Linked DNA regions of Cricetulus griseus. The protein of the gene in region 5 purifies or fractionates together with the protein of the main gene of each other region. This does not show direct contact. Links are inferred from orthologs where the notes say so. Each region holds a gene or a part of one and is shown on either strand. Other genes may lie near its edges.

Region 1 (4,621 bases), on a different chromosome or scaffold from region 5:
GAGGGCTGTTGTTCCCACCGCCTGCCTATCACTCAAAAAATCACTGTAGTCTAGTGAGCGACTTTGAAAGATTGTAATATATTCTGTGGAAAACATTCGGCAGAGCAAAAGCCCTCCCTGGGCCCTCCCGCAGTATGCAACCAGTGAACGGTCCGGAAATCTGCAGCTCTGGAAAAGTCCCTGGCTCAGTCCTTGGAGAATGCAGGTGGCTATATGGGAAGAACCTGCTCCAGGACGGTTCTGGATGTCAGGGGAATCCTTTCGGGGAAGATGACTTCAAATTCGATAACAAGGTCCCCACGTTTCTCAGGTGTCTTGGGGAGAGGGAGGCCTTCTCCAGGAACTTTCCGCCGCATGCCGGGCCTGATGACATCTTTGAATACAACAGGGATGGTCCTGCCGTCCAGAGTGGGGACATTTACAGTGCAACCACAGAGAGCCTAGGAAAGCAAAAGGACTATGTTAGATGGAAGCTGGCTTAGGAAGCTTGACTCCTCCAACATCCAGAGAGAAGGTTCAGGTCCACCAGACCCATGCAGCTGAGCTCCAGCCAGTCTCCCCCACTGCTCCTCAGAGCAGTCATCTCCTTTCATGATTCTCCCACCTAGTGCCTTACCTCCCGAAGGCTAATCCTGGCTGGATAGATGACATCAGAACCATCTCTCTTGAAGATATTGTGTGGCTTGTCCTTTAAAACAAAGACGATGTCAGCTGGAATGTTGTTGGAAGTCTGGTCCCCTTCCTTGGGAAAGGTGATTTTGGTCCCTTCTTTCCAGCCCCTCTTCACTTCAATGGTCAGGATCTTATCTTCATTTCGAATGCTCTTTCCATCGGGGTTCAGCCGCTTGTGGGAGATTTTCATTTTCTTGGTACAGCCGCTGTAGATCTCTTCAAGGGAGACCCGGAGATCGTGGGTGACTGGGGGATCTTGCTTCTTTCGGGCAGGCTCTTGGGCAGGGCGGGCACGTCCAAAGTTCACATTGGTGAAGCCACCCATACCCATTGGAAAGCCCGAGAATGGGTCATCGATGTCCATGCCTTCTTCCCCGTTGCGCTGCCCAAAAAAGGTATCAAAGGGGTTTCTGCCACCAAAGAACTCAGCAAACATGGCATGAGGGTCTCCATGGAATGTGTAGCTGAAGGAGGTACCATTAGCACCGCCACTGCTACCGCCACTGGGGCCACCACCCTTTAGGCCTGGAAAACAAAATCAGAAATCAGAGTTACTGTAGGAGAGTCAAGGCCCTTGGTTTCCATTTCTAGCACTGCAATAAATTAACACATTTACAAAACAAAATCAAGCCTGGCGTTGGGTGGTGTATGCCTTTAATCCCAGCACTCGGGAGGCAGAGGCAGGTGGATTTCTGTGAGTTCGAGGTCAGCCTGGTCTCCAGATCGAGTGCCAGGATAGGCTCCAAAGCTACAGAGAAACCCTGTCTCGGGGGAAAAAAACAAAACAAACAAACAAAAAAATCCCACCAACAAACCCATAAAATCCTTAAAATAGAAAGCCCAGACATGGTGTCGAATGCTTGGAAACCCAGCACTCCGAAGACAGGAGCAGGTTGATCTCTGCAAGTTCCAGACCAGCCAGGACTCCAACACGAGGCATTGGGGACGGCTCAGAAGTTAAGAGCACTTGCTCCTATGGCAGAGGAACCATGTTCGATTATCAACTCCCACACAACAGCAGACAACTAACTCCAATTCCAGGGGATTCAACATCCTCTTCTCTCGAAGCAAGTACACAGTGAACATACATACATACACGTACCCATATATATAGAAGTAAAAATAAAAGCCTGAACTACACAGTGCGATCCGGTGACTGTCATGTTATATAGCCCTTGAACTTGCTGAATAGTCCAGGTTAGCCTAGAGGCAATCCTCCTGACTCAGACATACCAGACCTGGGATTGTCACTACATCCTGCTCTTTTGGAAACAGGAGCTCATTCTGTAGCTCAGATTTGAAGCAAATTCACAACAATGCTTCAGCCTCCAAAGTGGGGTGTGTGAGCTCCCGCACCTGGCTCAACAAGTTTTGCTTTTAATAAAAAAAGCCCTGGGAACCGTAGTGGGAGGGGTTATATGTATTTTTAAGTTTGTTCTAGGTGAATCTCAAGTCTTTAACTGCCAATGGCAGCAGGAGCAGGAAACACATTACTCCCTTTCACTTCGTGACAATTCGGTAGTAAGGCCTGCAGCTGTCGGCGCCACCAGGTCTACTTGACAGCCCCATCCTCTCTGCCATGCTGTAACACCTTACAGAGAAGTTCCTACGCACTGCGGCCAGAAAGGCTCAGCTCAACTCTGGGTTAAGCGCTGAGCCTGCGGGTTAGCGGGCCCAGAGGAACAAACACTCGGGCGATTTTCAAAATCTCACACCCTAGCGATCGCGACCGCCGCCCTCCGTCTGCAGCGTTCGGGCGCTGTGCAGGCGGCCGGCCCGCCGGCCGGGAGGGGCTGCGGCAGACGTGCTAGAAGCTTCTGTGTGAGCGGCGGGCGCGCCCAAAGCTCCTCCTCCCGGCTGAGGCCGCCGATCAGAGGGCGGAGGCGGCACCGCCGCCGGATCCCCGGGCCGTCGATGCGGGGCCGAGGCCTCAGAGAGGCCCCGAGTGCCTCGGTTTCCCTGCCTGTCAAACGGCGGGTCACCCCCGGCCGCGCGCACGCGTACCTTCTTCTCCGTAGCGGTCGAAAATCTCGCGCTTGCGCGGGTCGCTGAGCACGTCGTAGGCCTCGGCGATCTCCTTGAACTTCTCCTCGGCGCCGGGCTCCTTGTTCTTGTCGGGGTGGTAGCGCAGCGCCTGGCGGCGGTAGGCTCGCTTGATCTCGTCGTCGGACGCGCCGCGGGCCAAGCCCAGCGTCTGGTAATAGTCCTTGCCCATGGCCACCGCCGCCCAGCTGTCGCCGCCTCCGGCTCCGCAGCTGCCCTGTCCCGGACTCTATATACCCGTCCGGCGGAAGCTTCCAGATCCCGCCAGCCCTCCAGAACCTTCCGCCCCTCCCGGCGCGCCGCGCCACTCGGGCCAATCGCTGCCGGCCGCTCCGTGACGCAGAACATCCGGGGTGGGACCCGGCAGCCAACGGCCTTCCGCGCGAGGCCACGCCCCTTCCCGCTCTACCCTGGTCAACGCCTCCCTGGGGCGCGCGCGCCCCTGCCTGAGGTCCCGCCTCCGCAGTGGAGACAGCCAATCGCGGCCCGCTCTCACTGCCGACTGGTGACGACGTGGGGAGGGGGCGGGGCTACAGAGGCGGGTCTCTTCCGAAGCCGCACCCTGTCCCTAGGTGAAGACCGGCTGGGCGGTCCTGCCCGGTGACTTGTAGCTGCCCGACCCGTCCCTCCAAGTTCCCTCTGCTGTCACCCAGGGATAAAAGTCCGCACCCCACCCTCTCCTGCCGGTTGCTCCGTACAGGCCGTTACTGTAAAGCGAGGTGAGGCTGGTCTGGCGAGGGATCGCCCCAGTCCGGGTACTCAGGCTTCCTTACTTCCTGCTGAGGAATTAGCCGGGTTCTTGGCGTTCCGGGTAGATGTCACTCACTTTGCTGTCTGAGTTCACCACCAGGGCAGACATTGGATTTTGCTTCGTGGCTGTGCATCTTTTTCAGGACCCACTAGGTGCTTCGTAAATATTTCCGAATGCTTTGACGTGGGCGCTTCTTGCTGTGGGGGAACAGAGCACCTCTGTTAATTGACTCTTTGGGTTTTTAAGTCTTGGATGATGGCGGTCAAGGACACAGCTGAGAGCAAAGGGGAGAGAGCTTCTGAAACTGCCAGGCTTAGAGAAGCGGGGGTAGTCGGTTTTGGTTCCTGCAGGGAGAGAAACTACCTGGAAGTCAGAGCACGAGCCTTGACTCTGTAGCCAGAGAGAGTAGGCTTCGTTCCAGATCCTAGTACTTCCTGGCTGTGTGACCTTGAATTGGTAAAGTAGCCGTTCTGGCCTCAGTCGTGCTCACTTATGAAATCGGAATGGCCGCTGTATATAGGAAGTTGACGTTACTCAGCATCTGTGAAAGTGCTCAAGAAAAACCAGGGACAAAGGGATGACTAATTGTCTTGTTTAGTGGATGACGCTGACACCTCCTCTCTGGCAGCCCTGCAGCGTCTGAGCCTCTGCTGAACCTTGCGTTGGACAGCCCGAGACCTGTGAGAAAGATGACCTTAGCCTTCTCTTGGTGGTCTATCCGGATGTGTGTGTTCTGGTTTTCCTGACCACACTGACCCCAAGAGAACTGAAAAGGGCTCTGTCTAAACACAGTTGAGCCCCTGCCCCCAAAATGGAATTGGGACTAGGGGATCCTTTAGCTCAACAGAGGATGTCCTGAACCAGTCACTTGGAAATATTCAATGTTACCTAGAGAAATAACAAGAGAGCTGGCACAGTGGAACATTCCTGTAATCCCAGCACCAGGAAGCTGCGACAGGAGGGGTACTGTGTAAGGCCCGCATGGTTTACAGAGTGAGAGCTTGCCTCAAAATAGGTGAATAGAAACAGAAATTCCATAAAGAACAGAAGAGCTGCCCCTACCGGAAAGCGCAGAGCATGAGGAATTCTTCAGTGGGGACATTCAGGTGTGCCTCTAGAGGGGCTTGGCTGGGTCTCACTAAGGTTTCTAGTCCA
Region 2 (4,582 bases), on a different chromosome or scaffold from region 5:
ATACTTGGACTTTATTCCCAGTCAGGCCGAGTTTCCTCCTCCTCATAGTTTAGCTAGAGTTAGACTCTTAATTCTGCATTTAATGCTTGCATAACCCACTTAAAAATTAGGAGTGCTGCCCTTCTCGTATTCCCATCGAAACACACAAAGTCGACAACACAAAGCACACATTGTAAGCATAACGAGCCAAATGGAAAAGTTAATGTGCTATAATGATATTCGTTTTGCAACATCAAAAGCAGCAGAAATACTGCATATAATTTGATTAAATCATAAATACTGAGATTGAATATGCACATAGAAATTACATTTAGGCTCCATGAGCTGAAAGCTCTCTAAAAGCAGATAAAGTGTGAACCAGCAGGAGCAGCTCCTGGTCCATCAGTACTCCCACTCGTCGGACTTCAGATCAAGGTAGCTGAGGATGTTCTGGGCCAGCTTCACAGCCTGCTTCCTAGCAGACTTACACTTCTCTTCTCCCTGGGGGTCAACAGCGTCCAGGGTCAGCAACTGTTTGGTCAGCAGCTCCTCCAGACGGATATAGTTCTTATCAGTTCGGTTTCCACCAAACGAGAGGACTTCACCCTGAATCTCTGACAGGTTTCCAAGGACATCCCACACAGCCTTGTGTGGGGGGTTCTCCTCACTAGGGAAGAGCTTCCTCTTCTCCAGGGCCTCCTTGAGGTCCAGGTACGTGATCAGGGTCTGCACTTCAATCACGGCTCTTCTCCTGGCTTCCCGGATGCAGGGGTTCTTCTCAACACTGACTTCATCTAGCTGTCCGATCAAGCCCTGAAGTTCTGTCTTGGAGCTCAGGTACAGTTCGGGAGGGCTCTGAGCCTGGAGAAGTTCATTTTTTATCTCTCGCATCCTCTTGAGCACCTTTTCTATTTTCAGAATGGAATGGTTCTGCCCCAGGTCAAATGCATGTGTACTGTCAGCTTCCTCTTCTAAATCTAGGTATTTCAGTAGTTTGTTGATGTCCTCCACCACCTCCCTCCGGTAATTTCTGATCTCCGTACGCCCACACACGTCTAAAGCATCTAGATCAGCCATCAACCCTGACAGCACGCACGATAGGTGCCTGCAAGTCTCAGTACTGTCCACGCCCATCAGAAGTGCGATCAAAGTGCCCCTGGCCTTGTTCACCTCACACATCACCAAATTGATCTTGGCAACTGAAGGGTGCACATCCTCAGAGAGCGGCAGGGAAGGCTGCTTCTTCATGCAGTCTTCAATGATCTCTTGCACGGCACAGATCTTGGTTAGGGTGTGGTACCTTGCTTTCCGCAAAGAGATCTTCCCTCCTGTTTTAACATGCGTCAGCCTCAGAATGATGTCCTGGATGCCTTCCTCAAATTCGTCAGTCACACAGTTGCCTCCACTGTAAAAGGGCACGATCTTTTCTTTCACAAGGGCCTGTGCCTCCTTAAAGATGTTCTGGATTTCAATCCGGTGTGGGTGGTTTGCATTCTGCTCCAACTCTTTGAGAAGGCCTTCTGTCTCCTGCGCTGCCCTCTTCCTAGCTTGCTGAATGTCTCCTTTTCCTTCTGTGTCTACAGAGTCTATTTCAAAAAGTTGTTTCGTCAGAATCCTCTCCAGTCTCTTGTAATTCTTGTCATCCGCCAGGCCGCTGAAGCCAACCACTTGAGGCTCTATACTCTTGACTTCTCTTTGGATCTCCTGAAGCCTACTAATAGAAGGGTGTTGGTTTCCCATATCCATACTTCTGTGTTCAGTTTCACAAGCACTGAAAGACGGCAAGAGTAACTTATTACAGTCTCTGCAGGACAGTTAGATCAACCCACTTTAAACTCACTTTTAAAAGGCATACTTTTTAAAGGATTAATTGGGGCTATGGAGACAGCTGTCAGTCAAGTGCTCCAGTTGGAGCTCCAGAACACATGCAAAGACAGCCAGGGCAAGGGCCCTAGAGAGGGCTCAGTGGTTAAGAGCACTGGATGCTCTCCAGAGGACCTGGGTTCAATTCCCAGCACCCACATGGCCTCTCCTGGTCACCTGTAACTCCAGTTCCAGGTGATCTGATCCCCTCTTTTGGCCTCTACAGGCGCCAGGCACACATGTGATGCACACACATACATGCAGGCAAAACACCGGTGCACATAAAACGTAAAAGCCAGGCAAGATGGTGCTCACTTACACCACCGGTGCCAGGAGTCAGAGACGCGTGGACTCTGTGGTTCACTGGCCAGCTAGCCTACTCCGATTGGGGAGCTTCGGGCCATGAGAAGCCCCGCCTCAAAAAAAACAAAGTAGAAGGACACCACAGAAATGGTGTGTCTGGGGGGAGGGGGGCAGGGTTGAACTCTGGCACCCGGGCAAGCACCAAAACACACAGACGGAAGGTTTTGTCGTTATTTATAGATTTGGAAGACATACTCGAGGAAAGAGGAGATGTGACATGTTAACTCCCTCTCGGGAAAGCACTTCACAAAACAATGTGCCAACACGCCCGGCGCCAGGGAGGCAGAGGGAAGAGAATTAGGAGTTCAAGACCCGCCCGGGCCACTCAGTGAGATCCTGACTCAAAAGCAAAACGAAAACAGGGAGAAGTCTGTCCAGTCTGGGGTGGATGTCTGGGCCTGGGAATCAAAGTGAGCCGCGCGCACACACACACGCACACACGCACACACGCACACACACGCACACACTTTCACGGAGGCCAAACCATCCGCGTCAACCCCGTTTCCTCTGCTCCCACCGCCCTAGAGGACGACTGGGAGCGGCAGGCGGGGCGGGAGGCTCCCCTGTGGAAGTCATCGGGCGCTCTCCGGGGCTCCTCACCGGGCCACCGTTCTGCCCCAGGCCCAACCGGACTTGTCCTTTCCACGAAGTCCTCGCCCCCCTCGACTCCCATTGCTGCCCCGACCCGGGCCCCCGCCAGAAAGCGTGACAAGTGCGGTTATTAGCTGGGTCACTCGCCTCCCCGTAAGCATGCTTAGAGCTTTTCCCACGCTCGCTCGCTCGCTCGTTCCGTCTCTCAGGTTTCTGTCAAACCGCTCACTTCCGGCGGGCCGGCCACAGAACTCAGTCCAAGCCCGGAGAGGTGCGGGCGGCGGCGGTCTTGGCGGCCGCGGAGGGCGGCGAGGCGGGAGACCGGCCCGTCACGGGGAGCGGCGCCGGAGCGGGGCCCCCAGCGGCATCCCCCTCGCCCTTCCCGGCTAGGTCTGACCCGGGCGGCCGGTGAAGGGGCCGGCGGAGGCGGCGGCAGCTACTGGCCGCGGCGGCCGCTCCGGGGCGTCTCGGCCGGGCCCGACGCGCCGCCGCCTGACCTCACAATGGGCGCGCGGGAGCGGCGGCGGCGGGGAGAACGAGGCCCGCGCCCCCCCCGCGCTGCGCTGCGCTCACCTGGGCCGCTCGCGCCATCGCGCGCGCTCCTCCGCCTGCACTTCCGCAGCGTTGCCGAGGCGGCGCCCGCCGCGGGGCCGGCCGCCCAGCTCCGAGCCCGGGGAAAAACGCGGCCGGGCCCCGCCCCGGGCGCGCCCGCCGCCGCTCTCCGGGAAAGCGCACGGTCGGCCTCGCCCGCGCCGCCCGCCGCCGCCCGCGCGACGCTGCCGTAAAGCGGACCGCGGCGCTGTCGCGATCGCGCCGCGCGCCGGCCATGGCGGCTCTGCGGCCCGGAAGCGGAGCGCTCGTCCGGCCGCTCGTCCGCTCCTCGTCCAGCGGCGGCGGCGGCGGCCGGCTGGCCCGGGAACGCGGCACGGAGCGCAGGGATGCGGCGTCCAGCCCGGTGAGCGGACGCCCGGGGAGGGAGCGGGGCGTCCCCGGAGCCGGCGTGAAGCGCTGTCGGCGCGCTGCGCCCTCACTTCCGCTGCGCGAAGGCGCCCGGGCTCGGTCTGGAGGCGGCGGCGGCTCGGGCCGCGCGTTGTTTGTAAACAGTCGCGCAGCGTCAGAGGCCGCAGGGCGCGTCCGCAGCGAGCCGGGAAAGCGGCCGGGCGCTCGGCTTTTGTTTAACCCGCCGCCCTTCTTCCCGAGCCGGTGCTTCGTTTAAGGGAGGCCCGGGCCAGTGAGAGTGATGGCTGAGGCTTCAGGTGGAGAGCACTAGACAGCGCCCATGGCTGCCCGCACTGCATTTGCCAGCAGGCCGGCGACACAGGCTGGCGAGGTTTGCTTAAGCAATAATTAAAGGGCCGCAGCGGGGAAAAAAAAGGTGTGTGGGGGAGATAATTAAGAATTGCAAAATGTGCCTGCTGTGTGAATTTCCATTTCTGTTATGCTGCGTCTCGGAAACACTTTTATTAGAACTACAGCTTTTGAAGTCTGTCTAGTCTCCAGTTAAGGTTTGTTGCCCGGGCTCCTGGCCTCTGGCTCGGTTCCCTGGCACGAGAAACAGACAAGCCTTCACTTCTGTCTCTAGAAAAATAGAATTTTAGTCCTTGGGCAGAAGGAAAAACGAAACAGGTGTCTGAACATGTTTGGGGAGGGGAAATGTAACTCAGCCAAGCATTTACTTTGGGGTGTGTGTGTGTGTGTGTGTGTGTGTGTGTGTGTGTGTGTGTGTGTGAGAGAGAGAGAGAGAGAGAGAGAGAGAGAGAGAGAGAGAGAGAGAGAGAGAGAGAGA
Region 3 (3,856 bases), on a different chromosome or scaffold from region 5:
CAATAAAAAGTACAAACCCATACTAAGATATACACATACACATAAAATTAAAAAAATAATATCAAGGACTTAAAAAGTAATGATAAAATCAAAACTATATATAACCTTTGATCCTGATTTTGTGTCATGCAAAATCCAAAGCAGGACACAAACTAGCTTTCTATCTCGTATCTTCTCCATTATCCACCTTCCTTTTTCTCCTCCCCCCCCCCCGGTTTTTTTTACATTTAAATTAGAAACAAGATTGTTTTACATGTCAATCCCGGGTCCCTCTCCCTCCCCTCCTCCCCTGCCCCCCACTAACACCCTACCTATCCCATCCCCTTTCTGCTCCCCAGGGAGGGTGAGGCCTTCTATGGCTGCAGTTCTTTTTCTTGCTCATCACTCTACGTCACAGCAAACTGGGAAGTTTCTTTTGTTTGTCTTAATGTTGGGAACTGAACTTACGGCCTTTCCTATACAAGTGCTCTACTACTGAGCTATTCTCCCCAAGCCTGGGAATGTTGCTATTAATGAGGATATTTGCTTACTGTCTTTTGTTTTTTTGGTTGTCTTTTGCTATAAAATCTCAACTAAAGTGCATAGCATCAGCACAATGTCTCATATTGAATGTACTCAAAATGTTTTTTGTTATGGCTTACCTGTCACACAGACAGTGAAGTCATCCCCGCACGACACTTGGTGGATGGCTTTTCCCTGCAGCTTCTCCACATGCTTTGGCTGTCGATAGGAAGCTTTGTCTCCATGTCCTAGCTGACCATGAAGTTTAGTGCCCCCTTGCATGTTCTGTTAAAAAAGAGGTCTTGTGAAGTTTTAACTTTTCACACTAAAAGCTAATCTTTAATATCACTTCTTCTGAAGAAAAACAATAAGAAAAAAATACTGGAAATTTAAAGACAAAAGTGGGGAAGGGTATTAAGCTTTCAAAAGGCTTTTTTTTTTTTTCTTTTTTTGAGATAGGGACTCACTATATAGCACTGGCTATCCTCAAACTAACTCTCTGTATAGAACAGGCTGGGCAATCTGCCTGCCTCTGCCTCTTGAATGCTGGGATTAAAGGTGCTCACTGATATGCCCTGCCAGGTTAAAGCATTTATTGGTTAATATAAATCCCGACTTACAGGTAAATAAGATTTTAAAACACATCCATATTCATACCCATCAGGCACAGGACAAATTCCAAATTGCCTTTTTTGTAGTGTAAGGTGAATTATATGTTTAACTATAATGGGAGATGATGAAAAAGTTCAATACAGAGTATAATTGGATTGCTTTCTGTTCTAATTTGGATTCTGCTACTGTGATGACTACCATGACTCAAAGCAACTTGGAAGGAAAGAGATTACAATCTACCATTAAGGTAGTTTACAATCTACCATTTAGGAAGCCAGGACAGGAACGCAAGTCAGGAACTGAAGCAGAAGTTACCACGGTTTACTGCTTTCTCTTCATGGCTTGCTTAGTTTGCTTTCTTATAGCACCCAGAACCACCTGCCCAGGGGTGGCACCATCCACATTGAGCTGGACCCTCCCCAGTCAATCATCAATCAAGAAAATGCCCCACAGAATGTCAATTTGATGGAGACAATTCCTCAACTGAGGTTCCCTTTATCCAGGTGCTAGTTTACATCGAGCTGACAAAAACTAACCAGAGCAGTTTCTAAATGAGTATAATAACCTCTTGAAAAGACCTGCACTAGAAGTTTATAGATTTTGGGCAGCTTCCCTAAAACAGAACAGTTAAAAAGACCATAGCTATACCAAAAAGAAAACAAAAATAAGGAAAAAGAGAGAGAATTTGGTTCCATCAAGGAAGGTGCTATGTGGTAATAAGAACAGTCCTCATAGCTTTGCAACAGTTTCACAGAGATAGCAATTCTTTCCATTCACTGACCCAAATATAAACCCCGTAGCAAACAGTGGTCAGGCATTACTTATTACATTTCAGGCTGCTGCCTCAGGCTAATTCTCTAAGGGATAAGGTTTTGGGAAACAACATCCCTCTGTTACAGAGGCCAAATCTCTCATTCTTTTATGATTTCATAATTACCCACTCTCTACTTTCACACAATGGAGATAAAGCACCGGATAAGATAATACAGTCCTTATGCCTATGAAGAAAGCTGAAGCCACTGAAAAACAGACGAGCTCCCTCATGCACCTACACAAGGTACAGCAGTGAAACAGAAAGCCAGCAGCACTTGCTGTTACAGAAGCCAGGTGATAACAGAACCTCTAGGGAGAGGCCATCATGCTAGGGCAGGACAAAAGGTGTTTATTTTATTTTAGCAGTTTACAGGTCATTTGGTAAGACCCATATTAACTGAGTGGCAAGGACAGAAGCTGCACTGTAGGTGAGTGAGGAGAGTGGGAGACCTGGAAAATGCAGAAAACACATTGGTGATGCACACCCGGAACCCCAGCACTTGGGAAGCTGCAAATCCTAGATCAGCTTTGGCTACAGGGTTAAGACCCTGTCTCAAAATAAAAATGCAACAATAAACAACAACAAAACGACAGGGCTGAATTCAGAGGACAACAAAGGGAAATTCTAAGCTATTTTCATTCATAGATGGGGTCTGGGGGGTTTCCTGAAATGGCAGTGTTTCATTTGTTTACAAAGTTATTTCACAGGTACTAGCTGCTCTAACCTCATGATAACAGAACACAAGTACCTGAAATATCCGAAATCATCTAGTTGTCCATGACAGACAGCCCAGTCTTCTGAACCCAAACCCAAGGTTCTCTTACTTTTCTTTTCCTCTCTCATCCACTTCTCTAGAACCATTCATAAGAACCACGATGCCCTAGGAATGGAGCTACATGAGTGAACTACACAGCCCACAGCTGCTCTCACAGGAGCTCATGTTCCATCACTTGTCTCATTCCTGCAGCACAAGGACAGCTAACAGAAGCCTACACAGCCCGGGCCCAGAAGCATCGGGGCTTGTACTCACTCTACTTACCACCCAAGTGTATAGTTCCTTCTCCACAGTGACCACAGCAAAGTGGGTATTCCCCGCGCACACCTGTCGGGCACTACAGCCACTCTTGATGACGTCCAATTTCTGGGGTGTAGATTTTCCACCACCCCAAACATAGACTTCACTGGTTCGTGATGTTACCACAGCAATGGGTGCTTCAGTCACAGTGCTTGACCTGCCAGCAATCCCCAAACATATTTAACGTAACAATGGTTTCAAAGAAGACACAGGGCTTGACTAGCTAGCATGAAGCCCTTGGTTTGATCCCTGGTGAGGGGTTGCATGCTTCTTTCAAAAAAAAGAAAAAAGTCTATTCTCTCAGAAAAACAGCCAATTTTGGCATGAGAAAGTATATTCTTTCAACCCTTTCTCTTAACAGGCTTCATCATGGCTCAACCAGACCAGATTCAGCCAGTCCCTAACAGCTCCACTCCCCACTTTTCAAAATTCATCACGGGAATAACATCCACTTTATTGTAAGGGAAAATTTGGGCTTTCTCTTCAGAAAAGACTGTCTGGAGGCTGCAAAGATGGCTCAGCAGTTGAGAGTGTGTAGTGCTATTTCAAAGGACAGTTCCCAGCAATCATATCAGTGGTTCACAACTGCCTGAAAATCCAGCTCCAGGGGATCCAATGTCCTGTTCTGGCCTTTAAAGATGCCTACATGCTCGTGCACACACACACACACACACACACACACACACACACACACACACACACACCCCGCCCCCCACACCCACACCCACAAATAAATCTTAAAAAATAAAAAAGAAAGAAAAGTAATGCCTATATGACACTTAAGCTGATGCTGGCTCCTAAATTGACATCCCAGGTTGTGGGGATCAAATAATGCCACAGTAGGCTCAAGTAAG
Region 4 (4,412 bases), on a different chromosome or scaffold from region 5:
ATCCAATCATGTTGCCTGTTTCCAATACGGCACCTAAGGAAATGAGACCCTTAAGGGTAGGGAGGACAACTCCCATCTTGTCTATGGACACACACCAACAAATGTATTAAGAAAGGAAAAAGATGAGACAATACTCTCATTTCTGTAGGGTCAATGACATGCTCTTACCTCTCCGGATTTCTACTGGATTAGCCCCTTTGCTGATCTTCTCAAAGCCTTCCTTGGCAATAGAACGTGCCAGAACAGTAGCAGTGGTAGTGCCATCCCCAGCCTCTTCATTTGTGTTATTGGCAACATCTTGAACAAGTTTAGCTCCGATATTTTTGTATTTATCCTTTAGATCAATTGCCTTTGCAACAGTGACCCCATCTTTTGTTACTTTGGGACTTCCCCAACTCTGTTCAATAATCACTGTTCTTCCCTACAATGACAGAATAACAACCCTCAACCATAAACTTCAAAGTTGTCACTTTTAACAGTCCTGAAACGTGAATCTCAAAGGTCAAGTTAATCAACATTCTTAGGTCTATAGACAAAAGGAACTCTGAGGTACAACAGTAGATAACATCCCCCACCCACCCAAAGAGATGCCACCTATTAAACAAGATAGCACAGGTGACAATCACCAATCCTGGAACACCCTTCCATCACTTGTACACGAGTTTTGGTTATGAACTGTTATTACTTTTTTATTAACTGTTGCTTTTAAGTACAATTTACTTGAACATCCATTCACTAAATATCAGCCAGTAAGTTTGTTCTTAACTTACTGTTTCCTGCTCATGCAATTCAAAACTTCAAAACTGACACCAACAGTATTGGCAACTTGGATTTGAACCAAGCTATTCTGTCTTGACCTATATAAACAGCACTTTACGAAGCTCTTTAGATGGCTTTAACGTCAATTTAAAGCAACTGTGCCCCACATCCAATTATGTCCTCAAAGTACTATGGCTCCTTATTCAACCACACAGATGAGTGACTCCAGCCTTGGATCTCAGCAATGATTCAAGGTTCAAGCTTGCTTGGTCCACAGGAGTTCCAGGTCAGCTATGGCTAAAGACCCTGTCTCAATAAACACCAGATGAATAGTATACTAAACTGTTACATACCTGGGACAATCAGTTCAAGGATAGTCTTGGTACAAAGCGAGTTAGAGGTCTGACTAAGCTATCGAGACTCTTAAAAACCCCAAACCAAACTTTTGGAATGTGGAAATGGCAGAGAAATCATGAGGTATGCACAATGGAGGGATAAATGGGAGACCAGATAGCCTTTTCCATGTGCAAGTGAAAACGGTTCTGGAGATGTGTGATGGTGAGTTACAGAACAATGCAAACGAAGTCACAAATATTAACTTAGGCTGGACAGATGCCACAGTGGTTAGGACCCAGGTTCAATTCCCAGCACCCACATAGCAACTCACAATTGTAACTCCAGTTCTGGGATCTTCACATGGGTATACACGCAGACAGTACACCAATGCACATAAAAATATAAATAAATCTAAACTCTATGCTATCGCATCTACTGTATGCATACTGTAATACTTCAGTACAGTTAAGTAAAACCTCACATCTACAATTACACTCTGAGGTGTTACTAGTCTTGAGCTGTCCTTTCCCCTCTATACCCTCTAACTCCTGGGAAAGGATCCAAAATTTAATGCAAGCATTCACACAAGATTAATTACGCCTAAAGTTTGAAAATCCTCCTTGAGCTATTACTACTCTATTACATCATGTTGCACAAAAGTCCCCCAAATCGGCTGCAGCAGTATTAAGGCCACCAACTAACGAAACTCCTAAATAACACCCCCAAATCACTTAACATGTACTACACTCAAATTAGATTTTCATAAAACTTGTTAACAAATACTGTCTAATTTGCAGCTACAGAATACTATTCTTTTATTAACACGATTTAAAGTATACTGATACCTTTGGCCCCATTGTAACAGCTACAGCATCCGCTAAAAGGTCTACACCTTGAAGCATTAAGGCTCGAGCATCTGCACCAAATTTTACATCTTTGGCATAGGCCCGAGTGAGATGAGGAGCCAGCGCCCGGGACACTGGTCTCATCTGGCGAAGGACTGTGGGTAGTCGAAGCATTTCTGGGAGAGGGGGGGAAAAAAAAAAGCAAAGGATCACTACTAGTTACGGACAAACTTGTCCACCTGTGCTTCAGAACATGGAGGCTAGCTAGACTGGAGCTTGGCAGTCCTCTGCTAACCGCCACGCCTGGGCCACACACGGCGCTGCAGCTTCAGGACATCAATTGCTAGCAACGGATTAAGGAGGCCGCCCCCATGCTCGCTTGACCTGCAGCCCTAGCACACAAAACCATTCCCCATGGCCACCCACTCCTGCCACCGCGAGTTAATCTTTCACTGGCAAAGCGGCCTTAGGAACAGATCCACTCCAAAAGTGTGTGTGGGGGGGGCAAAAAAATCAAGCTGGCGTAAGCGAGGCAGGTTCCAAATGCAAGAGCACAGGGAACTATACAAGTACTCATGACGGTGCAAAACCCCGCTCAGGAAAAGTGACGCCAGGTGTCCACCCGGAGCTACGGTAGCACAGCAACTAGCAAGGCCGCAAAACCCAGGACCGCAGCTCAGCCCATTCGCGCGGCCCCACGTGTCTGCCCGACAAGGAGCCCCAGGCAAGGTCAAAGTAGAGGCGCCGCATCCCCGCAGCCAGAGGGGACGAGAAGGGACCGCGACCACCCTCCGACAAGAGTCCTGCAGTGCGCCAGGCGCAGGTGGCACCAGAGGGCCCAAGTGGCTCCCACCCTAGCCCGTCCTCGCTCCCGCGCTTGGCCTGGGTCGCGTGGTCCCCGCCGCACGTGATGAAACCCGCGTGGCCCCGTCGGGCCTGGACAGGCCGGCAGAGCCTGCGGCGTCGCTGCCAGCCTTGTCCCCTAGCCCGCCATGCTCGGGCCCAGCCGGAAGCAGGCCGGCGAGCTCCCGGGCGCCATGCACGTCGAGGCCGTGTACCTGCGGGGCGGCGGCGGGAGGGCACGAGGCGAAGCAGGCCGTCGGCGGCGAGTGAGGGACCGAGCGCAGAGCGCGCACCGCAATGAGTCCGAGTCCCCTCCCTCCGCGGCCCCGCCCCGCGGCCCCGCGTGCGCGCGCGCCCCGCTCCCTCCCACGCCCGGGCCCTGCAATCAGCATGCGGCGCGGGTGGCCCCGCCCCCCCCGTACCCGAGCGGTCTCAGCCCCGCGGGCTCAACCCTCTCCCGCCGCCCTACGCTGGTTCCTGGGCCTCGCTCCGTTCTAGAACCTTCCGGAAGGGCGCTGCGCCTCCCGTGGGTCAAGGGTCAGGTGGCGTCATTTCCGGGAGGAGGACGAAGGGCTCGTTCTTTCACCTCAGCGGGCCGCCTGGAAAAGCCTAGAAAGCGCGCCCCTTTTCTTCCGCCTCCGGCTGCCCCCTTCGGCGGCCTGCGCGGAGTCCTCGCCACCAATCGGCGCGCGCGCTGCCGTGGCCGCCCTCTCTCACGCTCGCGGGGGGGGGCCGCGTGCGCCTGCGCCTGCGCGCTGCGTGGCTTTTTCACGTGTCCCGAGCCGGACCTCAGGACTCTCCTTGCAGCGGCGGCCCGAGTGCAGAGTCCGAGCGGCGGCGGCGCGAGTCATGGTGAGTGTCCCTGGGCTGGCAGGCCTGCCTGCGGGTCGGGGTCCCCCGCGACCCACGGTGTCCCCCCCTGTGTGCCGGTTTAGCACCGGCAGGGCAGGGGGCCACGCAGTGTTCGGCGCCCGCCCGGGTTCCGCAGGAGCGAGGCCTGTCCGATGCGGTTCTCCACCACGGCCTCTTTGCACGCACGTGTGCTGCAGGAGCCCGGGGTAGGGGGCGGGAACCCGGATGCACACTCAGTAGCCCACCTGCCCTGCCAGGGCTTTCATGGACGTATACTGTGTTGGAGAATATATGACCCAGCTCAAAAATTGATACTCTCTCCCCGGCGTTACTAGAATTAAAAAAAGAAATCTAAAGAAGGAAAACGTTTGACCTTGGAGGAGACCAAGGTTGTGGTTAAAGGTAGTGTGGGTGCTGATGGGCAATGAAGACACCCCCCCACCCACCCACACGCACTAAAATATACAGGGTATGAAACATCCAAGAATATTTTCTAAAGGCACACCTAGATTTTTCTTGTCAGTTTGGGACGTTTGACCCGTTATAGGTTAAGGCATGCAGCGGTATTAACTGTTCGTGGTCTGACGCTGCGAACGCAATGACAGTCCGTTTGAACACGTTTCTCTCCGCAGGCTGGACAAGCTTTCAAAAAGTTTCTACCGCTCTTTGACAGAGTATTGGTTGAAAGGAGTGCCGCCGAAACTGTGACCAAAGGTGGCATTATGCTTCCAGAAAAGTCTCAAGGAAAAGTATTGCAAGCAACAGTAGTGGCTGTGG
Region 5 (4,287 bases):
CAGCAACAAACAAAAAGCTCACAAGAATTAATGTGTTGGTGGTGCACGCCTTTAATCCCAGGGAGGCAGAGGCAGGTGGATCTCTGTGAGTTGGAGACCAGCCTGGTCTACAAGAGCTAGTTCCAGGACAGTCTCCAAAGCCACAGAGAAATCCTGACTCAGAAAAAAAAAAAAAAAATTAATAAGTAAAACTTTCAGGAAAAAACAGAGAAGCCTCGAGTTTCAATCCCTGTAACCTCACTCTCACCAAGTTCTTTATCTGCCTCAGCTCAACATAATCCTCTGCCCATTATTTTTAATTTAATGTGCATTGGTGTTTTGCCTTGGGTGTTGGATCCCCTGGAACTGAAATTACAGACAGTTGTGAGCTGCCATGCCGGTGCTGGGAATTGAACCCGGGTCATCTAGAACAGCAGTCAGTGTTGTTAACCACTGAGCCATCTCTCCAGCCCCCCATTATTTCTTACAGAAACTTATAAAATGCTTTCAACCTTTTTCTTCATGATATACACAGCACTTTCCATTTCTTATCTGGCATTCATTAAGAGTCACTAAGATACCACTTAAAACTACAGATTCCATGAAGGATATAAAGTCTAGTAGACAATGTTACTTCTGCCTCTACATTCTTTGCTTTGGTGTACATTTTTTCCATCATAAAGTTTATTTCAGCCGGGCATTGTTGGTGCACACCTTTAATCCCAGCACTCAGGAGGCAGAGGCAGTTGGATCTCTCTGAGTTCAAGGCCACCCTGAGTTCCAGGATAGGCTCCAAAACAATACAGAGAAACACTGTCTCAAAAAACCAAAAAAAAAAAAAAAAAGAAAAGAAAAGAAAAAGAAAAAAAGTTTTATCTCAACGAATATACAATCTTAGCTTAATTACTCAATCTATGGTCTACACACAAGATGGTCTAGTGGTTCTTCACTAATCCCTTATAAAAAGTACCAAGGTCCTGGTAACTAAGAAATTGCTAAAGATCAAAGGATTTGATTTTCATGGACCATCAAAATGGCTCAGAAGATAAAAGGGGATTTCTGTCAAGCCAGACAACCTGAATTTACTTGGGAATCATGTGGTGAAAGGAGAGAACCAATTCCTGAAAACTGTCCTCCAACATCTACATGCATGGCATGGCATGCCCCTGTCTGTAGACGGACAGACAGACACATAGTAAAATTAAATAAATAACTTCCATTTAAATCTTGCTGATCTCAGGGCTAGGGATGTAGCTCCATGACAGAGCACATGCATGAGGCCTTGAGTTCAAAATTCCCAGCACTACAAAAGAAGGGACCTTACACACACACATTTAAAAAAATTGGAGAAACAATACAATTCTATTATCATCTTTCTAAAATTCATTAAAAAGGCATCCTAAAATTGTGTAGAAACAGACTTTCACAATCTTTACTCCCATAAAGTCATTCTCCTATAATGAATTCTATATACTGTGGAAACATCCAGTCTAGAATAACCTACAAGCCTTTCTTTCTTTTTTTTTTTTCAAGGAAGAATGACAGATTAGGATCATGATACTGATCCAATGAAAATGAAATTAACAAAAACACTTAGACCTTAATGTTTCCAAGTTGTGAAAGAAAAAAGAAACATTATGAAATTCACAAAAGATTCATCTTCAATTTAATATCTGTTTGAGTAATTTCTACACAAAGACTTTTGAACTCTTGAATATGAAATGACTAAACCACTAACCAAATAAAAAAGCAAAACCAAAAACTGTTTGAAAAGAGACTCCTTGGATTCCCTTTGGATACCTCCTAGAAAAGACCTTGACAAGACAAGAACCTGAATTAAAAGTCTTAAGCGTCTTCCATGAGACACTAAGACAGCACCATAGCAGAAAAATTCCAAAGAAGGCTGAAGATCAGTATCAATCAGAAGGGTAATGAAAGCGAACAAAATTATCCTTGCTACTTTTGCTAAAATGATAAACTTTGAAAAACCAAATTCAGGAGGAAAAAAAAAATCACTTGTTCCCTTAACTTCTGAAGCCTCCAGTGACACAATATATGTTCCTAAGAAGGAGGAGTTCCAAGCGATCAAATAAGAAATTACTGTATGTAAAAAAGTGACCAGTTAAAATGGGAGAAAGAGTAGAGTGAACCGTTAAAGACACAAAAAGAAACTAACAGTGCATTTAATGATCTGTCGGGATCGTAGGGAAAACTCACGTCCTACACCTCAGCCTCAGTTTCCTACCCCAAAAAGGCTGGAACGTGACATTTTGCTCCAACGAGCGGGAGGGCCTTGTTTCACAAGCCTCAAAGGGGGCCTCGGAGGCTGGACTCAGTGGGGGGTCCCCAGAGCAACTGAGGCATGACATCCGGAGCCCTGACTTGGGAAGAGGAGAGGGGGAGCAGGGTCCAAGACAGCTAAGCTCCTACAATCTAGCGGTGACGACACTCGTCCAGGACCTAACAATCCCTCTCTGCAGAACCCGACCGGCATCCTCAGCATCTCTTTCTCCTTCCGGCTTCTTACTGAGTTCCGGGCCGCCCTCCGGCCGCGCCCCCGAGCGCAACCCCCTTCACTCCCAGCCGCCCGGCGGCCCGCGCGCTCGCCCACCGGCCAGCGCCAAGGTCTCCTCCTGCCCGCAGCCAAAGGATGCCGGGCCGGGCCGGGCCTCCCAGGCTCCTCCCGGGCCTACCTGTGAGACGGGTGAAGGCTCGGCCCGAAGGCCAGCGGGCGCAACGAGCCACGGACGAAGGCGGGAAGAGGCCGAAGGAAGCGAGGGATCCGCTCGACCGACCAGCGGGAGAAAGCGGCAAGAGCCCGAGACCTCCGGGATAACTCTGTTCAGGACCTGGCACCGCCGCCGCCGCCGCCGCTCTGTAGACATCAACCAAGAAGACGCCGCAAAAGATCACAGAACACACGAACGCCCAGACATCAAAGGAAGAGCGCCCCAGCAATCGTTCAAGGAACTGCAGCCGAGTGCCGAATCATTGCTCAGCTCCTGCTGCAGGTCCGGCTGCCGTCCTAGGCATTAATAAACAAATACAGATCATAAACTATAGCGTAGAGTGTTTCTACCATTTACTGTTGGTGGCCGAGGGTTTAAGTAACTTAGAGAATTAAAGGTATGAGACCGGTGCACGCCTGTAATACCAGCATTTTAGGAACACGAGGATTCGAAGTTCAAAGTCATCCTGAGAGTGAGCGCGAGGCCAACCTCGGCTATATGAGACCTTGTCTTAAGTGAAAAAAGAATGTCTTTTGTGAGAGCATTGATTGAAGATCAAATCATAGCAGAATGAAACTCATCTTAATAGTTCAAGTGCCTTACACTTAAAGACTTCTCACGCTACTTATCCCAGTTGAACAAATGACTTGATTCTTGATTTCCTTGTAGAATAGTAAGGTGTATGAAATAAGAGAGGCGAAATGAAAAACCAAACAGTGAACAATCTCACTGAACACTCCAGTTTAGCCTTACATATGTAGAAATTTGTCCCCAGGCATAATATACTGTTGCCATCTTGAAATCAAAGCAGCTCTGGTTATTTGCACAATACCCTCATTAAGATTGGGCCCACTGGTGAATAATATCCCCTGGTGGAAAGGGGGGACTCAGGAGTCAGTGTACAGTGCCCTTCCTCTACTCAAGGACATATAAATAGTTCATTGCTGAAGGAGGGCAGAGACTCGAGTGGTGTAGCTGCCATAAGTTGCCCATGGTCCTGTGAGTAATCTCTCACTCAGTCTCCTGTAAGCAACCCTCAATTAAATTCATTGGCTCAAGCTAGACTAGGGTAGAATCATTTATTTAGTCTGCCATTGATGCCTTATTCAGGATGAATAGGTGTTTTGTTTACATCTCCCCAGGAAGTCAGGCAACACCTGTTACCCGAACAGCTGAGAAAGAGAATCACAGATGAGTTTCAGAGGAGTAAATTGTACAGTCGCTGCTGTGGGTGATCAGACCTGCAACTGAAGCTAAGCTAAGCTGAGTGTAAGGCTGGCCTGGGGGCAGTTCTGATATGGCCATCCTTCCTCCTGGGGTATGAAATGAAATGTCTTCTTGATGTGGTGCTATTTCTTTGTCCATTCTGTGGGTGATATGACATGTAACTGAGCTGCTGCTCCCTGTGAAGGTGGAGTATCTGTGGAAGAATCCCTTGGTGACTGTCTTTATGTCAGTGGTTCTCAACCTTACTAATGCTGCAACCCTTTAATAAAGATCCCGTTAATACAGATCTTCATGTTGTGGTAACTCCCACCATAAGATTATTATTGTGCCTACTTTATAACTAGTTTTGATG
Region 6 (4,312 bases), on a different chromosome or scaffold from region 5:
TTGTCTCTAGGACTGGGACTATAGGCATGCACCACCATGCTGGCTTTCTGAAGCCAGGTATCAAACGTAGGGTTCTGAACCTGCTAGACAAGCATCCTATCAACTAAGCTCCTTTGCAACCCACTGCTCTCACAGCTGAAAGAGATAATAACAGCTTCCTCCTCCTCAAGGGTTATAGAAGTTTCAAATTACAAGGTATATGAAAAGTGTTCTTTTAAATTACAGACTATTACTCCAATTAAATATGGTGTCGACTTGCTTTGTGAGTCCTGGGACACTGGGACATCCTGACAGGAACCTTAAGCAGTAAGAAACCAAAGCAGCGGACAGTGCATTTCCTTGGCCCTGGCGACAACATCATTTCCTGCCTGGGTGGACTGGAAAGAACTACTCCCTATGGGACCATTTGGGAAGTGTACGGACAGCCGACCTCCCAGTCCTACCTATCATTCATTCCTCCTCTGCCAATCCCCGAGACCCAGCTGCTTTATCACCCACAGCTTCTAGAAGCTACTCAATACTTGGCACGTACTGGGTGCTCAATATTTACTCAATTAAATGCTAAATTGATTTTTCTTTTAGTAAAAGCACGTTCTTATGCCAACTGGACAGTTTGAAAAATGATATATTCAACACTAAGACACATGGTGTTTGATCTGAGCAGCCCCTCTTCCTGTGTTCAAACGTGGAGTCCACAGCTCTTGGCTGCAACTTGAGGCATGTCGTTTATATCTGAGCTTCAATTTCTCATCTGTAGAATACAGATAATGGTAACTCCCACAGAGGCATGAGGCCTAGCATGCAGATAGATGCTAACATGTATTATTTATAAACTAGGATAAACATTAAAAAGTAATAAGTAAGCCATCTAGCCACGAAGGGCGCAGAATCCCATAGAACTGGTCGCAAAAATCAAGAAAGGACAGGGTTACCTCTTTAGAGGAGCTGTAGTAGAAAATATTTTTTTTAATGTCAGATAGTGTAGTTAATATTATAAACTAATAGAAACGAACGACAATCCACTAACAGCTTGTAAAACAGGGCTGAACATTTTAAAGCATTTTAGGCAATCCCAGAGGTCAGTTCAGCCTCCAGGATATAAAGCCTTTGATGTGGTTTCAGTTTCAGAAGAAAAAGTGACTTCCACTGTCAATAGAATCCACACAACTGACTGGAAAATGCATACTATCTACAAACCAGGGTTTTACAGCACCAAATCCACAGCCTTGCTAATATTTGTATACAAGGAAGCTAGTATCGGGAAATCACACAAGCTTCATCTTTCCTCTATCATCCATATTTAAAAATTTTGTTTTGTTTTATTTTGTTTTTTTTTAAGACAGGGTTTCTCAGTAACTATGAAGCCAGTCCTGGAACTCACTGTGTAGACCAGGCTGGCCTCAAATTCACAGATATCCACCTGCTTCTACCTCCCGAGTGCTGGGATTAGAGGTGTGTGCCACCACTGCCCAGCTAAAAGTCTAAATTTTTAATAGTGCAGTGCCCTGTGTCAAAGTGGCTTCTAAAAAGGAGCCCCATGCCTTGAGCCATTAAACACACATTAAACTCTCCCTCTCAGCAAATAGTTAAAGTATCAATTAATCACATATGTGCAACAGTCAGAATTCCTTTTACATTAACCAAACATTAGACTGCAACACCAAACCCAAGGCTTTCAGGAACCCCCTCCACCCCCCTACCCAGCACTAGGGAGGCATTAATTCAGGTTTCAGGACAGTGACTCAGCTAAAGAAGAGTAACAACTTCCTAAACCCTTTCAAGGAGAAAAAAATCTGAGCAGTTGAGAATATACTGTCCAAGTTCAGTGCCTACTTTGTAGAGGGAAGCATTCCCTCTCCTCAGAAGGGCTTGAAAGCTGAGGTCCCTTTGTCTCACTCCGGGCTGGGGACTGTATGGTTAAGGCTTCTCTTGTGGCTACTCAGGAAATTGTGAAAAAAATTTCTCACCGTCTGGATCTCTGCTCCTAATAGTAATAATAACAAATGCCTCATTTGTAACAATGCTGCTTGTGGTAGTTTTCTGTGCAAACATCCTCCCGTTTGTTTGTTTGGTGGACGAATGGAAGGAGATTAGGCACACAAGACTCTTATGATTTTGCTCATATTCTTTTGCTTATGCAGAACCTGGAGAAAACTAGGGAACAAAATGTTCGCAGTTCCAGAAGACCCAGGGTGCCTTGATAAGATTTTCATGGAACAACACCTGCACACAATCAAGACTTGCACAACTTCGGAGACATTAACCAGATAGGTAAGATCTCAAATTGCTGTAGGCAACAAAGTATTTACAGCATTTGCTAGTATTTACTATTTAGAAATTTTACTACAACACCGATCCTGCGATAGAATCTCAGGCAGAGTGTGACTCGTACCTTTTCAGGCCTGTGGCTGGCACTTCCTAGGTGTCATCAGTATCTTCTAAATGCACAACAGATACAGACCGAATGCGGAGGGCATTGCACGTGGTTAAGAAAATGAAAGAACGCATCCAACTTTGCCACCCACAACGGCCACTCGTGGGTCTAATTCTCGCTGGTCGCGGGAGGTGCAGTCTGGAATTTTCCTTACTCTTGTGTTACTATGAAGTGGTTTGGGGCAAAGAAACTTACTACAATGGGAAGGTGGGAGGGAGAGACCCCACTAAGCTGCTGCCTCCCTCCAAAGAGCATTACTGGAAACGTGGAAGTTAGAGGCAGCGGGGACCACACACAAGGTTCTGGAAGTTGGGCAGGCCGCGCGCGCTCGCCCGGGGAGTGGAGCCCACCCGAGGCGCCCCCGCCTGCACGCTCACCCGCCCGCCCGCCCTCACCTGAGCTCCAGCTGGTCCAGGCTCTCCAGCAGGCGACTGGAGCGGTCTGCCATGGACGAGGAGCGACAGAAGCGACCCTCGTGGGCCTTGGCGCTGATCTTCGCCTGGGCCATGAGCTCCGGGGGTCCGGGGCGTCCGCGGGCAGCAGTGGCGCGGGCCGCACGTCGCCGTCACCGCGGGCGCCGCTGACGCGGACGGCACCGCCCCCGAGGCCGCGCGGCCAAACAAGGGCAGGCGCGGGCGCAGCCGCCAGCACTCGGGTGGGGGACCCTGTCCCGGTGCCCGTCGCCAGCCTCCCACCGGGCTGCCGGCTCGCCGATGGCTTCTGATGTTTGTCCCAACACCCACAATTCACAGCAGGGACAAAATCGTGCGGCCCGTGACGTGGGAGAAAAGATCCCCTGGTGTAGCGTTAAGACAATTGAGTGCGCCTTAGGGGCAGTCTCTACTTGCCCGACCTGCCGGGTTACCAGGCAGGCTCCTAAGAGGACAGGGAGAGCCTGGGCAACACTGTGCTCCAAATAAGGAAAAGCCAAGTGCATTTATACTGTCTCGCCTTTCTAATGAAAGGTTATTACTTTCACACCCAACTTATTGAAATCCTCCGTGAATAATATTCAATAGGCTCCTGCAGAGGTCACTAAGAGGTGGAGTAGGGTTGAAATACAAAGCCATGTCTGGTTAGAGTTGTGTTTTGTCCTCTCGGTGCACAGAAAATGAGAAACTTGGATTTACAACCTTGAATCAGAACTCAAAGCCATTTGATGACTTAACAGAGTCAAGTCCCTTAAGCACAGCTGGCTTCCAGGTCCTCCACCACCATCACCACCCGCCCCATCCCCAACTCATTTTACATAATAAGGAACAGTAGGTTATCTGGCTTCATTAAACATTGTCATTTCATGACACAAATGTGAAATTTGAACGTTTTGTGAATGTCTTGAAAAATCGAAGCTTGCGCTCATCTCAGGTCTAATGCCAGCTCATCTGGATGTTGATAAAGGATTGTGTCTCTCGGGCCAGAGTGAGTTCAAAGGCCAGGCGGGGTTGCTTTGCCAAGAGCTAAAAATCTCAAAAAGTATAAGGGGCTGTAGACGTAGCTCGGTGGTATAGCATCTGCCTTTGTCCTAGGTTAGCAACTAAACAAGGCAGATGTCATGGATTCAGTGTCTTATGCTCTCTGGCATCTGGTCCTCAGTTGGCTGTTTGGGAACGATTATGTGTGGTCTTGCTGGAGGAAGTATGTCACTCTGGGCATGTTGCAGAAGACTAGCCATTCCCAGTGTGTCTCTGCCTCCTCCTTGGGTTCCAGATGAGTGCTCAGAACCTGTCCTTGATGCCATCGTGACTCTGACCCTCTGTAGCTGAGCCCAATTAAATGATGTTTTGCTTTGTTTTTTGAGACAGGGTTTTTCTGTAGCTTTGGAACCTGTCCTGGAACTCCCTCTGTAGACCAGGCTGGTCTGGAACTCACAGAGATCTG
Region 7 (3,856 bases), on a different chromosome or scaffold from region 5:
CTTTTCCTGCTATTCTGTTCTGTCATGAGTTGGGGTTCATGTGAACTGGAAGTAACAGGTTTCCATCCTGTGGGAAAAGGTGGCTGATGTGAACTGGACATTTCTTACCAATAGGTCTATGATATTGCGTTCAGCCGAGCTGGAGGTGGCAGGGACATGTTCGCCTCTGTGGGTGCGGATGGCTCTGTGAGGATGTTTGACCTCCGTCATCTGGAGCACAGCACCATCATTTACGAAGACCCTCAGCATCACCCACTGCTTCGCCTCTGCTGGAACAAGCAGGACCCTAACTACCTTGCCACGATGGCCATGGATGGAATGGAGGTAAACCCCGTTGTCATGTGAGCTTTCTGCCCTGGCTGGTCCCGTGGCCCTTGAGCCCCAAATGAACACACAAGACTTATATTAATTATGAAACTGTTGGCCGATGACCAGGGCTTCTTTTTTTTTTTTTTTAAGATTTATTTATTTATCATGTATACAGTGCATGCCAGAAGAAGGCACCAGATCTCATAATGGATGGTTGTGAGCCACCATGTGGTTGCTGGGAATTGAACTCTGGACCTCTGGAAGAACAGAGTGCTCTTAACCCCTGAGCCATCTCTCCAGCCCAGACTAGGGCTTCTTATCAGATAGCTCTGTCTTAATTATTAACCCATTTCTATCAATCCGTGTCTTGCCACAAGGCTGTGGCTTACCCAGTAATGACCAGCATGGTGTCACTCCTCTGGCAGCATCTTGACTCTGGCCTCCTACACTTTCCAGAATTTGTCTCCTAGCCCCACCTATTTTCCTGCCTGGCCAATCAATGTTTTATTCATCAACCAATAAGAGAAACATATAAACAATAGCATCTCCTATCACCCCATACGTCTGCCTGTCCCTTGTCCAATCTGCCTTGTGTATTTACAAGAGTAGCTCTCGGATGGTGGCGGTTTTGTGCTCAGTTGATCTTTGGAAATACCTGGAAACATTTTTGGTTGTCAGAAGAGGAAGCAAAGAGTATTTTTGGCATCAAGTGGGCAATGATCAGGGAGGCTGCTAATGACCCTGCAATGCACAGACAGTTCCCAACAGTGTCAGTCTACTAAAAATGCCAAAAGGGCCTAGACTGAGGACCCTGGTCAACAAAAAGGACTGTGCTCAGCTTCTCCCCACTTTGGTGAAACAGAGTTTCTGTAGCTCAGGCTAGCTTGGAGCTTACTGTGTATCCTAGGCTAGCCACAAACTCACTGCAGTTGCACTGCTTTTGTGTTAAGGATTTCTGATACAGTGGGGATGTAGCTTAGCAGGAGAGTACTTGTCTAGTATGCTCAAGGCTCTGAGGTCGATCCCCAGTACAAAAAAATCACACCCTTGCATACACACACACCAGTAAACTTTCAATGGGCATGGTGGTGGCACACCTTTAATCCCAGCACTTGGGAGACAGAGACAGAAGGATATCTGTGAGTTCAAGGCGAGCCTGTTTTACATAGATTTCTAGGGCTACATTGAAAAGCATTTTCTTAAAAAATAAAATAATTTCTGATAAAGTAAAGCTAAGACAAGTAGAACAGCGATGGTGGCTACAGCAGGGACTCAGTGTAGGTACACAGAGTCACCATGAATACAGTGGGCACTCAGGGCAGGTACAGAGTCACCATTTGTTTGTTTGTTTGTTTTTCAAGACAGGGTTTCTCTGTGTAACAGTCCTGGCTGTCCTGGAACTCACTTTGTAGACCAGGCTGGCCTCGAACTCACAGAGTTCTGTGAGTTCTGCCTGTCTCTGCCTCTCCAGTGCTGGGATTAAAGGTGTGTGCCACCATCGTGTCTTCTTACAGGCACTTAACAAAGGTGTGTGTGTATCATCCAAACTCACAGTGCCTATTCCTGCTTCCCCTTCTTATTAGTCTAAAGGCCCAGGGTCTCAACACAGAGACTACACTACATGTGTTTGTTCATTGTTTTCTTTCTTTCTCCATCCTAGGAAACCCTTTCTTTCGTATTCTTCAAGTCCACAAACAAAAAGATTATGCTTAAAACTTTGTTTGTGAGATAGTGTTGTTTGTTTGTTTTTCCTGCCACACTCTGCAATTATTGGGCCTTTTTCTTACATTTCTGCAGGTGGTGATCCTGGATGTTCGAGTTCCCTGCACACCTGTCGCCAGGCTAAACAACCACCGAGCATGTGTCAATGGCATCGCTTGGGCCCCACATTCATCCTGCCACATCTGCACTGCAGGTAACCACGATGGGAGGGAGGATCAGAGAGTGAAGATCCATTCTTGGCTCCCTATGAGTCAAATCCTTGCTGTTTCCAAGGAGACTTTTGTGAAAGTGGAGTAGTCCACATTCCAGATGATCTTGTGTATTTAGTTGGTCTCAGATCATCTTTTATTGACTAATGACATTGTATCAGATACAGACCCGTGCATATATTCCTATAGGGGAGTATGTGCTGTTCCCCAGGAGTCTGGGTTCTTACAAGAAGAAGCATCCCTCTTGGCTGTAACAGGATCTTTGGCACTACCAGGAATCATCTCCCTTGGGTCTTGGGTCTTGTACCTTCACATAGCCTTACCTACAGTTCTCATTTTAGTATTTTTCTCAAAGAGGGTGCCACCATAGCTAGAAAACACATTAATTGGCAGTGGTTCGATTTGTTGTTGTTGTTGTTGCTGTTTATTTTTGATGGTGTTAAGGATTCAACCAAGGATATTAAACATGATAGGCCCTGAGCTATATCCTCAGTCCCCTGTTGCTGGGACTACAGGCCTAGGTGGAATTTCTTTTAATGGTGCATGTCTGTATAGCAATTTGTGTCAGTCATCTGTACAGCTTGTTGAAGTGTAAGTATACATAAAAGGGAAGCAGTCATCAGAGAAGCGTCTTCATTCACGTAAGTGTTTTTAGTGGCTGACAGTGATATCATATTGTAGGATCATTGCATCCTGTGTCCTCTCCTGATTCTCGACTCCAATGTTCTGATCTAATTCTCTAATACTGGAGCAGTGGGTGGGTGGAGCTTAAGGACCTGGATATGAGTCCTGACCCTGCCACTCACTGGCTACATGGCATGATGGGGCAAGTGTAACATTGCTAAATCTTGGTTTCCTCATCTCTAAAATAAAACTCCCTCACAAAGTTTTGGTGAGCAAATGTTTTACAAATTATGATTGACCCTCCAGTTGCAAGATTGTTACCACATTGTGGGCTGGAGAGATGGCTCAGAGGTTAAGAGCACTGGCTGATCCTCCAGAGAACCTGAGTTCAATTCCCAGCAACCACATGGTGGCTCACAACCATCTATAATGAGATCTGGTGCCCTCTTCTGGCCTGCAGGGGTGCATGCAGGCAGAACACTGTAGATCCTATAATTAAAATCTTTAAGCTGGGCATTGGTGGTGCACACCTTTAATCCCAGCACTCGGGAGGCAGAGGCAGGCGGATCTTTGTGAATTTGAGGCCAGCCTGGTCTACAGTGCGAGTGCCAGGATAGGCTCCAAAGCTACACAGAGAAACTCTGTCTCTAAAAACCAAAAAAAAAAAAAAAAAAAACAAAGGTTGTTACTCCATTGTCTGAGCTATGACATTCTTGCTTGTTTTTTCCCCAGCGGATGACCATCAGGCTCTCATCTGGGACATCCAACAGATGCCTCGGGCCATCGAGGACCCTATCCTGGCCTACACAGCTGAAGGAGAGATCAACAATGTGCAGTGGGCCTCAACTCAGCCTGACTGGATTGCCATCTGCTATAACAACTGCCTGGAGATACTCCGTGTGTAGTCTTGGCGGCACCTCACCTACCAGGCCAGGGCTTGTGTGTTTCAGCCTCTGCCCCTTTCCCTCCCCACGTAAGAAGAACATGTTTCC

What was found.
Region 1: the proteins of Ambra1 (region 5) and Dnajb1 purify together in Homo sapiens (affinity purification with mass spectrometry, with the first as the bait; 3 studies listed by BioGRID). This does not show direct contact. The link is inferred for Cricetulus griseus from reciprocal best matches to the Homo sapiens genes AMBRA1 and DNAJB1.
Region 2: the proteins of Ambra1 (region 5) and Bag5 purify together in Homo sapiens (affinity purification with mass spectrometry, with the first as the bait; 3 studies listed by BioGRID). This does not show direct contact. The link is inferred for Cricetulus griseus from reciprocal best matches to the Homo sapiens genes AMBRA1 and BAG5.
Region 3: the proteins of Ambra1 (region 5) and Nek9 purify together in Homo sapiens (affinity purification with mass spectrometry; 3 studies listed by BioGRID and IntAct, with this or other methods). This does not show direct contact. The link is inferred for Cricetulus griseus from reciprocal best matches to the Homo sapiens genes AMBRA1 and NEK9.
Region 4: the proteins of Ambra1 (region 5) and Hspd1 purify together in Homo sapiens (affinity purification with mass spectrometry, with the first as the bait; 3 studies listed by BioGRID). This does not show direct contact. The link is inferred for Cricetulus griseus from reciprocal best matches to the Homo sapiens genes AMBRA1 and HSPD1.
Region 6: the proteins of Ambra1 (region 5) and Bag2 purify together in Homo sapiens (affinity purification with mass spectrometry; 3 studies listed by BioGRID, with this or other methods). This does not show direct contact. The link is inferred for Cricetulus griseus from reciprocal best matches to the Homo sapiens genes AMBRA1 and BAG2.
Region 7: the proteins of Ambra1 (region 5) and Dcaf7 purify together in Homo sapiens (affinity purification with mass spectrometry; 3 studies listed by BioGRID and IntAct, with this or other methods). This does not show direct contact. The link is inferred for Cricetulus griseus from reciprocal best matches to the Homo sapiens genes AMBRA1 and DCAF7.

What each region holds. Positions count from the first base shown.
Region 1 is NC_048596.1:160,786,126-160,790,746, forward strand, and holds the start of Dnajb1 (dnaJ homolog subfamily B member 1), read right to left. Parts: upstream 2,991-4,621; 5' UTR 2,888-2,990; coding exon 2,677-2,887; intron 1,198-2,676; coding exon 617-1,197; intron 441-616; coding exon 210-440; 3' UTR 1-209. UniProt on the Homo sapiens protein: Interacts with HSP70 and can stimulate its ATPase activity. Stimulates the association between HSC70 and HIP. Negatively regulates heat shock-induced HSF1 transcriptional activity during the attenuation and recovery phase period of the heat shock response.
Region 2 is NC_048598.1:182,322,586-182,327,167, reverse strand, and holds the start of Bag5 (BAG family molecular chaperone regulator 5), read right to left. Parts: upstream 3,131-4,582; 5' UTR 2,958-3,130; coding exon 2,944-2,957; intron 1,751-2,943; coding exon 382-1,750; 3' UTR 1-381. Other genes in the region: cytochrome c oxidase assembly factor 8, read left to right, coding at 3,623-3,751. UniProt on the Homo sapiens protein: Co-chaperone for HSP/HSP70 proteins. It functions as a nucleotide-exchange factor promoting the release of ADP from HSP70, thereby activating HSP70-mediated protein refolding.
Region 3 is NC_048598.1:118,461,088-118,464,943, reverse strand, and holds part of Nek9 (serine/threonine-protein kinase Nek9), read right to left. Parts: intron 3,160-3,856; coding exon 2,967-3,159; intron 787-2,966; coding exon 642-786; intron 1-641.
Region 4 is NC_048595.1:409,526,363-409,530,774, forward strand, and holds the start of Hspd1 (60 kDa heat shock protein, mitochondrial), read right to left. Parts: upstream 3,124-4,412; 5' UTR 2,999-3,123; exon of another isoform or gene 2,918-2,998; intron 2,117-2,917; 5' UTR 2,115-2,116; coding exon 1,941-2,114; intron 422-1,940; coding exon 169-421; intron 1-168. Other genes in the region: MOB-like protein phocein, read left to right, coding at 3,633-3,635, 4,268-4,412. UniProt on the Homo sapiens protein: Chaperonin implicated in mitochondrial protein import and macromolecular assembly. Together with Hsp10, facilitates the correct folding of imported proteins.
Region 5 is NC_048599.1:85,029,788-85,034,074, forward strand, and holds the start of Ambra1 (activating molecule in BECN1-regulated autophagy protein 1), read right to left. Parts: upstream 2,915-4,287; 5' UTR 2,673-2,914; intron 1-2,672. UniProt on the Homo sapiens protein: Substrate-recognition component of a DCX (DDB1-CUL4-X-box) E3 ubiquitin-protein ligase complex involved in cell cycle control and autophagy.
Region 6 is NW_023276807.1:14,227,263-14,231,574, reverse strand, and holds the start of Bag2 (BAG family molecular chaperone regulator 2), read right to left. Parts: upstream 3,014-4,312; 5' UTR 2,943-3,013; coding exon 2,830-2,942; intron 1-2,829. UniProt on the Homo sapiens protein: Co-chaperone for HSP70 and HSC70 chaperone proteins. Acts as a nucleotide-exchange factor (NEF) promoting the release of ADP from the HSP70 and HSC70 proteins thereby triggering client/substrate protein release.
Region 7 is NC_048600.1:118,986,296-118,990,151, forward strand, and holds part of Dcaf7 (DDB1- and CUL4-associated factor 7), read left to right. Parts: intron 1-114; coding exon 115-324; intron 325-2,106; coding exon 2,107-2,224; intron 2,225-3,596; coding exon 3,597-3,769; 3' UTR 3,770-3,856. UniProt on the Homo sapiens protein: Involved in craniofacial development. Acts upstream of the EDN1 pathway and is required for formation of the upper jaw equivalent, the palatoquadrate. The activity required for EDN1 pathway function differs between the first and second arches.